2 linked regions of the Mus musculus genome follow. The protein of the gene in region 1 purifies or fractionates together with the protein of each later gene. This does not show direct contact. Links are inferred from orthologs where the notes say so. Each region holds a gene or a part of one and is shown on either strand. Other genes may lie near its edges. The genes, in order: Chtop and Erh.

Region 1 (4,298 bases):
GCCGACACTTTTGGAGAGTGAAAGTTCATTCAAAGGACAAACAGGAGGAAGGATCAGAGCACCTTCAAAGTCCACTGAAATAACAGACTCATGAGTTATGGGAGTTTATTACATTCTAACATGTTACTTAGTAACACATGAATACAGGAAATTAATGTATCACATCTTAAAAGATGAACAGAGAAGCACATGTGCTTCTGAAGCAAACACAGGCACTAAATTAAATGCCTTGGGAGTTCTAGCAACAACATAATAAAATGGTGAAAGACACCAAATAAATGAAATTCTCAGAAACAAAAACTGCCTTTAAATACAAATAACCACTCTTTCTGACTCAGGACTTCTGAGAAAGTTAAATTAGTTAAGTCGCTTAAGAGCCTAAGAGGACATTATTCTATCATTCCTGTTATGATTAAGTTTAATAGAAGTAAACACACAGCTGATGAAAGATTTCAAAACAAAACAAACTAAAAAGCAGAATGGGAAGAAAGTGAAATGGAGCAAAGCAAGTGCCTCTTACAAGGCCCAAGAATGCCATTCAGGGGCCTTTGGACATAGTCTCGGCTTGCTACCTGCCTCTTACAGGCCAGACACAACACTGCTGGCCTCGGACTAGGCAGCAAGCCTCTTGCAGCCAGGATATACCATACCATCATGCTGCACCACCCCTGTATCAATGTTAGGAAAAAAAATTGAAGGGAGGGTGTGAGGAGTCTTTTAAAAAATATATCCCACCAGGTAAATATTTCAGATAGCTTAATATAAAAATCTACTGATAAGGGGTTTTGAAACAACTGCCCAATTTGTTTTGTACCACATTAGATGCAATTAAGAACAGAGGTCTGTAGCCTTCTGTCATTTAGCTTACAACTGGCTTTTTTTGTATTGGACCCCAGGGTCAATTTAAGTAATGTTTTCTTAGGAAGGAGCTGAAGTTGCTGTTGGCTGCCTCACCGCTCATTTAGAGACATCTTGGTGGTGCTTTTTAGCACAACTTTCGGCGCTGACTGTGCAGCCATCTTCAAATCCCGAGAATCTACAAAGGACAATATGCATGAGTCAATCAAAATAATGAAGCTTGCATTTTCACAAGAAGCAAGGCATAAATCTGTTAAAGGCCTATATTTTTAACTCTGAAGATGGTATCATGAGATCTTAAGTTTGCCAGGTGGTGGTGGTGGTGCACTTTTAGTCACAGCATTCCTGAAGCAGAGGTAGGTGGCTCCCTTTGAGTTCGAGGCTAGCCAGGTCTACATAGCAAGTTCCAGGACAGCCACGGCTACCTAAGAGAAACCCTGTGAGGTGGGGGCTTACGTCCATACAATAGTTATAAAAATTTCAAAGCTCCAGGATGGAGAACATCTGCCAAAGTCTCCAAAATAGCAGAATGAGATGTAGCCAAAGCCTAGGAGTTTGGCTTTCAATAGTTCTTCTCAGCCTGGACTGTATGTGACTTAGCTGAGGAATGTTTGAAAAAAAAAAAAAAAAGAAAAAGTCCCTCCCAAACTAAACTAAATTCTTGATGCCTGGATCCAGACCAATTAAAGTACAATCTGGCCATGAGGATGGGGTACAGCAACTGGGATTGGGGGTGCTACCCAGGTACATCTTACATGTCTATAGAAAGTTGAGGGTCATGGATCTAGAGAAATGGAGGAGCTGGGAATATAGCTCCTCAGTAGAGTGCTTGTTTAGCACTGATGAAGCCCTGGGAAGTTCAATTCCCAGCAGCAACAGGGGAGTGGTGTAACAGTCTGAGGCTGTAACGGGTTACATTGTCACACTGTGAGGACCGGACTCTCATACACCCAAAATAAAAAGAAAAGCCTAGTTTCAAAATCGATTCTCAACTCCAAATGCAGGTGGAGCTCTAGTTAGACATGGCAGGGGAAAGACAGAAGAGGTTTTCTAAATGGGTATTCAATCTGAGAGCTCTGTTAAGAGCACACCACAATATTTTAACTGTAGTGGCATATACTGGGGAGGGGCTGAGGCAAGGGGGTCACAAGCTCAAGGCGAGCCCGGGTGATTTGACAGACCCTGTTTCAAACTAAGATTATTATTATTTTTAAAGCTGGAGATGTTAACTCGGGGCGCTAGTTTAGCCAAAGTACGATTTTGGGTTCAACTTCGGTGCCGCAAAAAAAAAAAAAAAAAAAAAAAAAAGAATCAAAATCGAACACCCAGAGCCGCCGCTAATTCCTGTACTCCTCATTTGACCTCCACCTCGAAGCCTCTCAGGACTCCAACTTTGATCAGGCGACTATTTCCGTGGTTATCCCCATCAAACGCTATTCTGGGGCGAGGCTTTGGCTCCGATGGAGGACGCTTATCTAGGTAAGCAAGACACTGGATTTGAGGCCAAACCACTACGACCAGCACCACCAGCACCAGCACCTGCACCAGACACGCCAACCACAAGCAGCACCCGCACGGCTAGCGGCCCAGCTCGCTGGCCGCGGTTCCGGCTTAGCCTCCGCCTCCCGGCTCCGCCCCCTCCCCGGCCTCTGCGCACCTCAGCCCGGTCCACACCTGCCACCCACGCCACCGGGCCCCGGACCCCGCGCCCCTCCACCTCTGCCCTCTCCACAGAAACTCACCGAAGGAGATGGACGCCAGCGCTCCTCCCGGGGTTGCCACCACGGCTGCGGCGGGCGGCCCGGAGGCCGGCCTAACCTGAGCTGACGGCGGGCCGCTCGGGTTAACTAGCTGGGCGGTTGGCTTAGATGCTTAAACGGTAGGATGTGAGGCTTCCTCGTTGTGGGTTGAGTATCTAGCTGACCGATCCTCCCGCTCGTCAAGCCTGCCCTTTCCTGCCTTTCGTCTGGGCCCCCAGAGCCGGCGCCGCCAACTCCCGCTTGGTGTCCAAAACAAAATGGCCGCCGGGCCCACCAGTGCAGCGTGACCGGCTAAAATGGCGCCGACGGGCTTGCGTCAGTGCGCGCGCAACTAGGGGCGTGGCAACATGGTCCTTTGGCCTAGCGCAAGAATCGCAGCGAATCCCCACTGACTTTGGCAAAGATCCCTTAAGTTACGTGTAGTGCTCCGCCTTCGGGGGCGTGGCCAGTGGCCGTAATCGCTAAGTACCTCTAGACTACCTTCTGGACAAGTTTATGCCCCACTTTGGTGGGATTTTTGGCTTGCAAATAGCAGCTTAGATTGGCAACAGTGTTTGTATCCTTTTATTTCCCATTCCCAAGCTAAAGACAACTGTAAAAAGTCTTTATTAGGACCTTGAGACCTGGCTAATTTGCTCAGGCCCTCAAACCTATTTGTAGAGTTTCTGTTTCTTTTTGAGGCAGGCTTCCTTTGTGTAGACCAGACTGGCTTCGAACTCACAAAGATCCACCTCCTGACCCCCCCTAACCCCGCCCCTCCCAGTACTGGGATTTAAGACCCACACTGGACTCATCTACATCCTTTTATAGGGACTGCCTCTAGAAGATGTGGCTAGTTTTAGGGTGGGTCTTTTTACCTCAAGTAATCCAATAAAGCAAATCTGTATCCCCACTTATGTATCCCTAGTTCTTACATAATGTCTAGCAATGATGAGGCATCAATAAACACTGAATGAAGCTTGGGAAAAAGTTCTTCTAGTAGTTTTTTGGTTTTGTTTTCTGGTTTTGTTTTTTTGTTGTTGTTTTTTTTTTTTTTTTTTTTTCCGAGACAGGGTTTCTCTGTGTAGCCTTGGATGTCCTGGAACTCACTCTGTTGACCAGGCTGGCCTTGAACTCAGAAATCTGCCTGCCTCTGCCTCCCGAGTGCTGGGATTAAAGGCGTGTGTCACCACTGCCTCTGGTAGTTTTTTTGAGACAGAGTCTCTATAATGTAGTTCTGGCTGTTCTAGAATTCTCTATACAGACCAGGCTGGGCTTGGACTCACAGAGATCCTCCTGCCTTTTACGTCCCAGGTGCTGAGCTGGTGTTAACTATGGTACGTGCCACCATTTCTAGCTTTCTTCAGATTTTTTAAAAAAGATTTATTTATTTATTATATGTAAGTACACTGTAGATGTCTTCAGACACACTAGAAGAGGGCACCAGATCTCGTTACGGATGGTTGTGAGCCACCATGTGGTTGCTGGGATTTGAACTCCGGACCTTTGGAAGAGCAGTCAGGTACTCTTACCCACTCAGCCATCTCACCAGCCCCACATTTTTTGATGGCTTGTTTATTTCTGTTTCTGGCTATGTAGTATGGGCTGGCTTGGAACTCAAAATCTTCCTGCCTCATCCTTCAAGTCCTGGTATTACCAATTACTCATACAAATCCTTGAGAAGCCAATGACACTTGGATT
Region 2 (4,506 bases), on another chromosome or scaffold:
CATCCGCAGTTCATGTTTCCCTATCAGTGCTGGGCTCACAACTCCCTTAACTAAGTCAGCCCCTTACCCTCTGGATCATTTCTCAAACTCCAAATATACCCGCTCCTGCATTTTTTCTTATTAACCTTTAGAACCCGTTTTCTGACTCCACTAGCCTCTAGCTCTCTTAACTCAATAAAAACTAAGACATGGAGTAGTTAAAGGAGAACAGGAAATACTATAATCACTGTATCAACCTAAGGTCTTTCCTGACTTGAGCACAACAGCGGAACCACATTTTATACAGGAGTTACCTCCCACATCAAGGTGTAAGATAAAGTAACAATATAAAATGTATATAGTGAACACCACACTAAAGTTATTTATGGAACTATTCGTCTAGATAACTTGCCTTAAGGGGCCAGCTCATACCCAAATAATTTATCTTTGAATGTACAAAATCTTTGATTGTACCAGAGGAGCAGGACTTCACTGAAAGCCTTCCTCTCTTGCTCACTGGGGAGCCGAGTCAGCTTCAGAGTTCTCACTATATTTGGGGACAGAAATGAATTCTTTGGGTTTGTCCTGAGCCTATAGGATGTTTTGTGGCACCTTTGGTCTCCACTCACTAGATCTCACTAACACCAACTCTCTTCAAAGAAGCAAAACCCAAAAATATCTTTAAATAAGTGAAGCAGACATCCTGACCAGCATAGTCTTATATAGTGTCTCTCGTGCATTTAAGAATGATTAATTAGCCGGGTAGTAGTGGTGCATGCCTTTAATCCCAGCACTTGGGAGGCAGAGGCAGGCGGATTTCTGAGTTTGAGGTTGGCCTGATCTACAGAGTGAGTTCCAGGACAGCCAGGACTATACAGAGAAACCCTGTCTCGAAAAACAAAACAAGATTAATTAATTAAACAAATGCTAGCATGATGCAACTCCACTGCAAGCCCAATTCTCAGCCAAATTATTCCCCTTATTTTCTTCACTTGCAACACTAGTTTCTGATTAAAAAACAAATTCTCATGTCAGGATGCCCAAACTATTTTGAGATAATCCAAAAATTTAATTATCAACAAACTGAACTGAGTTTCTAAGATTTAGGCTTTCTGGATAAAAACAGAAATAAAAGCACTTTAAATTTCTTACAGCAAGAGCATTATTATTTCTCCATCCCCAGCAAGATCTGTGTCTTTAATTAAGTTTGAGAAGACTTGAGAGAAAACTCTAAGTTGGTAACAAAAGAAACCTGTAGTCATGTGAACAGTGTTTTGTTTGTTATTAATAGCCAGAGAAAGCAGGATGTGTTGTGTAGGGGCTCATAAAAGGCCAGCTACTCAAATGGTACTTTTGTTGTTGAGAAAATTAGTCTCATGAAAGCCTATTTGCATTTTTGTAATGGCTCATCCTAGACAAGCTATTCATTCTTTGCCACATTTTTAAAAATTTTAGGCAAATTAAGGAATAACTTGAAATAATATTTGAAAACTATAAACACACCTGCTCCAAATATTTCCCTTTTGTTTACTTAAAAATAAGAGGGCATAAGTACTGGAGACATGGCTCAGTGGTTAAGCCCACGAGCTGCTCTTCCAAGGGACTGGTTTTCAATTCCCTGCACTCGCACGGTCGCTTACCATCACAGGTAATTCCAATCCTGGGGATCGGACGCCCTCTTCTGTCTGTCGCAGGCACTGCATGCAAGTGGCACACAAGACATGCAGGCAAATCACCACACACCGAAAAGGAAGATCCCCAAAAGCAAAACAACAACCAGAGTGTTGATGGCTCAGTGGTTAAGAGCACGTGCTACTCTTACAGAAGGCATGAGTTTGGTTCCTAGCACCCACATCCTCCGCTCACAACCGCCTGTTCTAACTCCAGACCCAGGGGATCTCATTCCCTCTTCTGGCCTCTGAGGGCTCCTGTACTCACGTGCAAGCACAGACACACAACTTAACAAATAAAACAAAAACCTTCCCTGCCGGATTTTGGGACCAGGACCCTGGAGTCTCTTTTCAGGCTCCACTCCCAGGAGAATATAAGAAAGAACAAGATCGAAGGCTGACAAAATTGGCAAAACAGGGCAACTAAGGATACTGAAAAAGGAAAAATACTTTCTTTTTTGAAGTTCGGGGGTTAGGGGGCAGGCTGAGGCAGCACACTGTAAAGCCAATCCGACCCCCTAAGGCCGACCTACGGAGAACCGTAAGGTGACGGGTGTGTCAGTTTCAGGAAACGTCTAACACGTTCCCCGGCCATTGTTCCTACAGTCGGCTAGTGCATCTGATGAGAAATGAACGGCACCCCACACCTCCCTCTTCCAGGCAGCGATCGGCAGGGAGGGCATCGTCTGCCCACCGCATACCTCGCCCCCCACCATCAGGCGGGAGGCGCGCAGCCGCAGGGAGGAGGATCAGGTCCGGGGCCTACGGGCAGGCCCCGCGGCTCAGCGCCGGGAAGGGGAAGGGTCCACCCGCGAGCCGGGGGGAAGGGGGCGGGGAGCAGCTCCCTCGCTCGCGCTAGAAGGGCAGGGGCGGGAAGGATGGGAAGATGTACCGAGCAGGGGTGGCCCTCTAAGTTGGGGACCCCGGCAACCGCTAAGGACTCACCATCGCGCCAAACGCTCTTGCTGCAGCCGCCGCTAACACCTCTGCTGCCGCACACGAGCTCAGCCGCAACGCCGCCAACAGCCAATCCCGCGAGAGCCGCCGCCGGAAGTCGTCGAAAGCGCGACGCAAAAGGAATCTTTCAGACCATAGAGAGACACACGTTTCTGGTTTCTAGAGTGGATACTGACGCTGTTTCAGCCATCTTGGTTAAGGGCGCCGGGATGGGTAAGAGACTCTTTCTCCGCTTTAGGAAGAAGAGTTCGTTTCGGGATTCTGCCTTCTGTACTCTAATTAACTGACAGGCGGCTAAAGTGATGGGGAATACAACAGCGACACCAGTCGTCTTTTTTTTAAGCCTTTCTAAAAAAATGGCGGCAATATAAGGACCTGGCCGATAGGTCGGTTGTAACCCGGAAGTGCCCTGCTAAAGAGGAGGCTGTGAGACAATCCGGAAGTGGGAGTAATGAAGAGGTGCCACTTGGCGGCCATGGCAGCTGTAGTATTGGCGACTCAGGGTCAGGGCCTGGCTGAGGGAAGTACCATGGGTAGCACCGGGTGTAGGGCAGAGACAGCATCGTGTCGACTTTGCTGTTGAATCCTCCGACCCAAGTGAGAGACTTGCAGGACATCTTGCCCGACTCTAGACTCGGAAGGTAGTTTGCTGGGACTGGTGGGCTGGTCCCTTCCCTGGGGGCGTATCACCTGCGGTGCCACCCCTAGGAACAGGTACAGCGTGCGAAGAAGACACTTGGCTTTACCCCTCTTTCCTACTGCTACCAGGGGCCTTGTCTAGGAGCGGGTCGTCGTGACACTCTCATTCCGACGATTGAGGTCTCTTTCAGCACAATTTCTCCATCTGTGACCGACCGGAATCTCAGTGGCTGGCAACCGAGTACCTAAGATTGCGCGAAGTTTTCTCTGGTGCTAGAGTCAGCAGAAGGAGCTTGCTTCTTAAGAGAGTGGCGTGCTTCGAGAACACCCCGGCTGGTGGCAAGGCTGAAAGAAGTGGGCAAATTCCCGTTTGCTTGGAAGACCACGCGTTTAAACAGCCTAAGCGCCTTTCGAAACTGCTGGAATCTTAAAGCCTGGTGGTAGAGGGTGACTACGGGAGGGCAGAATGGATGACTTTCTCTCCATTAGTCTGCTGTCTGTGGCAATGTTGGTGGGATGTTACGTGGCCGGAATCATTCCTTTGGCTGTTAATTTCTCAGAGGTAAGACGTTCTCCATTGTCTGCCAAGCGTTAGGATGATGCTAGACCTAGCTATATTTGCAAAGAAGCTGTTTCTCAGCTCTAAGGTCTCATTAAGGAAAAGATGTAACATTTCACAGTAGAAACAAAGCTTGTGTTCAACCGTATACATCTTAACCAAGAATGGTAGATAGATGATACACTGGAGAACCTGGAGTGTTCAGAATCCTCTGAAAATTATATACCCCCACGACCACCAAAAGTTGGGGCTCTGCATTTTTCAAGAGACAGGAACCACAGTTACATTTCTGATGATTCCTGGAGGTTTCAAGAAATCAAGATATCAGATAAAACCAAATGGAGACTTACTATTTCACTGAGGTGAAATCAGTATAACAATTTCTGAGAAAAATCATGAATGTTTTTGGAGAAAAGCTTAGGATGTCAGCACTACAATCAGTGTGAGAGAAAAAAGCTACAGTAGGTTGTTATTATCATTTCCTTTCAAAGAAGCCAAGGGCTGGAATGGATATTCTGAGATTATTTTCAAATCTCTTTGTTTAGAGATAAACTTTTTGCACGCCTTTAATCCCAGCTCTGGGGAGGCAGAGGCGATAGATCTCTTGAGTTTGAGGCCAAACCTAGTCTGCAATGCAGGATGCACTTTGGGTTATTTGTTAGGTTGTCATCCACTAAGCAGAGGTTATGGGGGGGGGAGAGA

Evidence for each region.
Region 2: the proteins of Chtop (region 1) and Erh purify together in Homo sapiens (affinity purification with mass spectrometry; 3 studies listed by BioGRID and IntAct, with this or other methods). This does not show direct contact. The link is inferred for Mus musculus from reciprocal best matches to the Homo sapiens genes CHTOP and ERH.

What each region holds. Positions count from the first base shown.
Region 1 is NC_000069.6:90,506,591-90,510,888, forward strand, and holds the start of Chtop (chromatin target of PRMT1 protein), read right to left. Parts: upstream 2,909-4,298; 5' UTR 2,601-2,908; intron 1,037-2,600; 5' UTR 1,020-1,036; coding exon 955-1,019; exon of another isoform or gene 1-954. UniProt on the Homo sapiens protein: Plays an important role in the ligand-dependent activation of estrogen receptor target genes. May play a role in the silencing of fetal globin genes.
Region 2 is NC_000078.6:80,641,170-80,645,675, forward strand, and holds the start of Erh (enhancer of rudimentary homolog), read right to left. Parts: upstream 2,943-4,506; 5' UTR 2,598-2,942; coding exon 2,595-2,597; intron 2,497-2,594; exon of another isoform or gene 2,366-2,496; coding exon of another isoform or gene 2,297-2,365; intron 1,677-2,296; coding exon of another isoform or gene 1,620-1,676; intron 1-1,619. Other genes in the region: Slc39a9 (zinc transporter ZIP9), read left to right, coding at 3,712-3,807. UniProt on the Homo sapiens protein: May have a role in the cell cycle.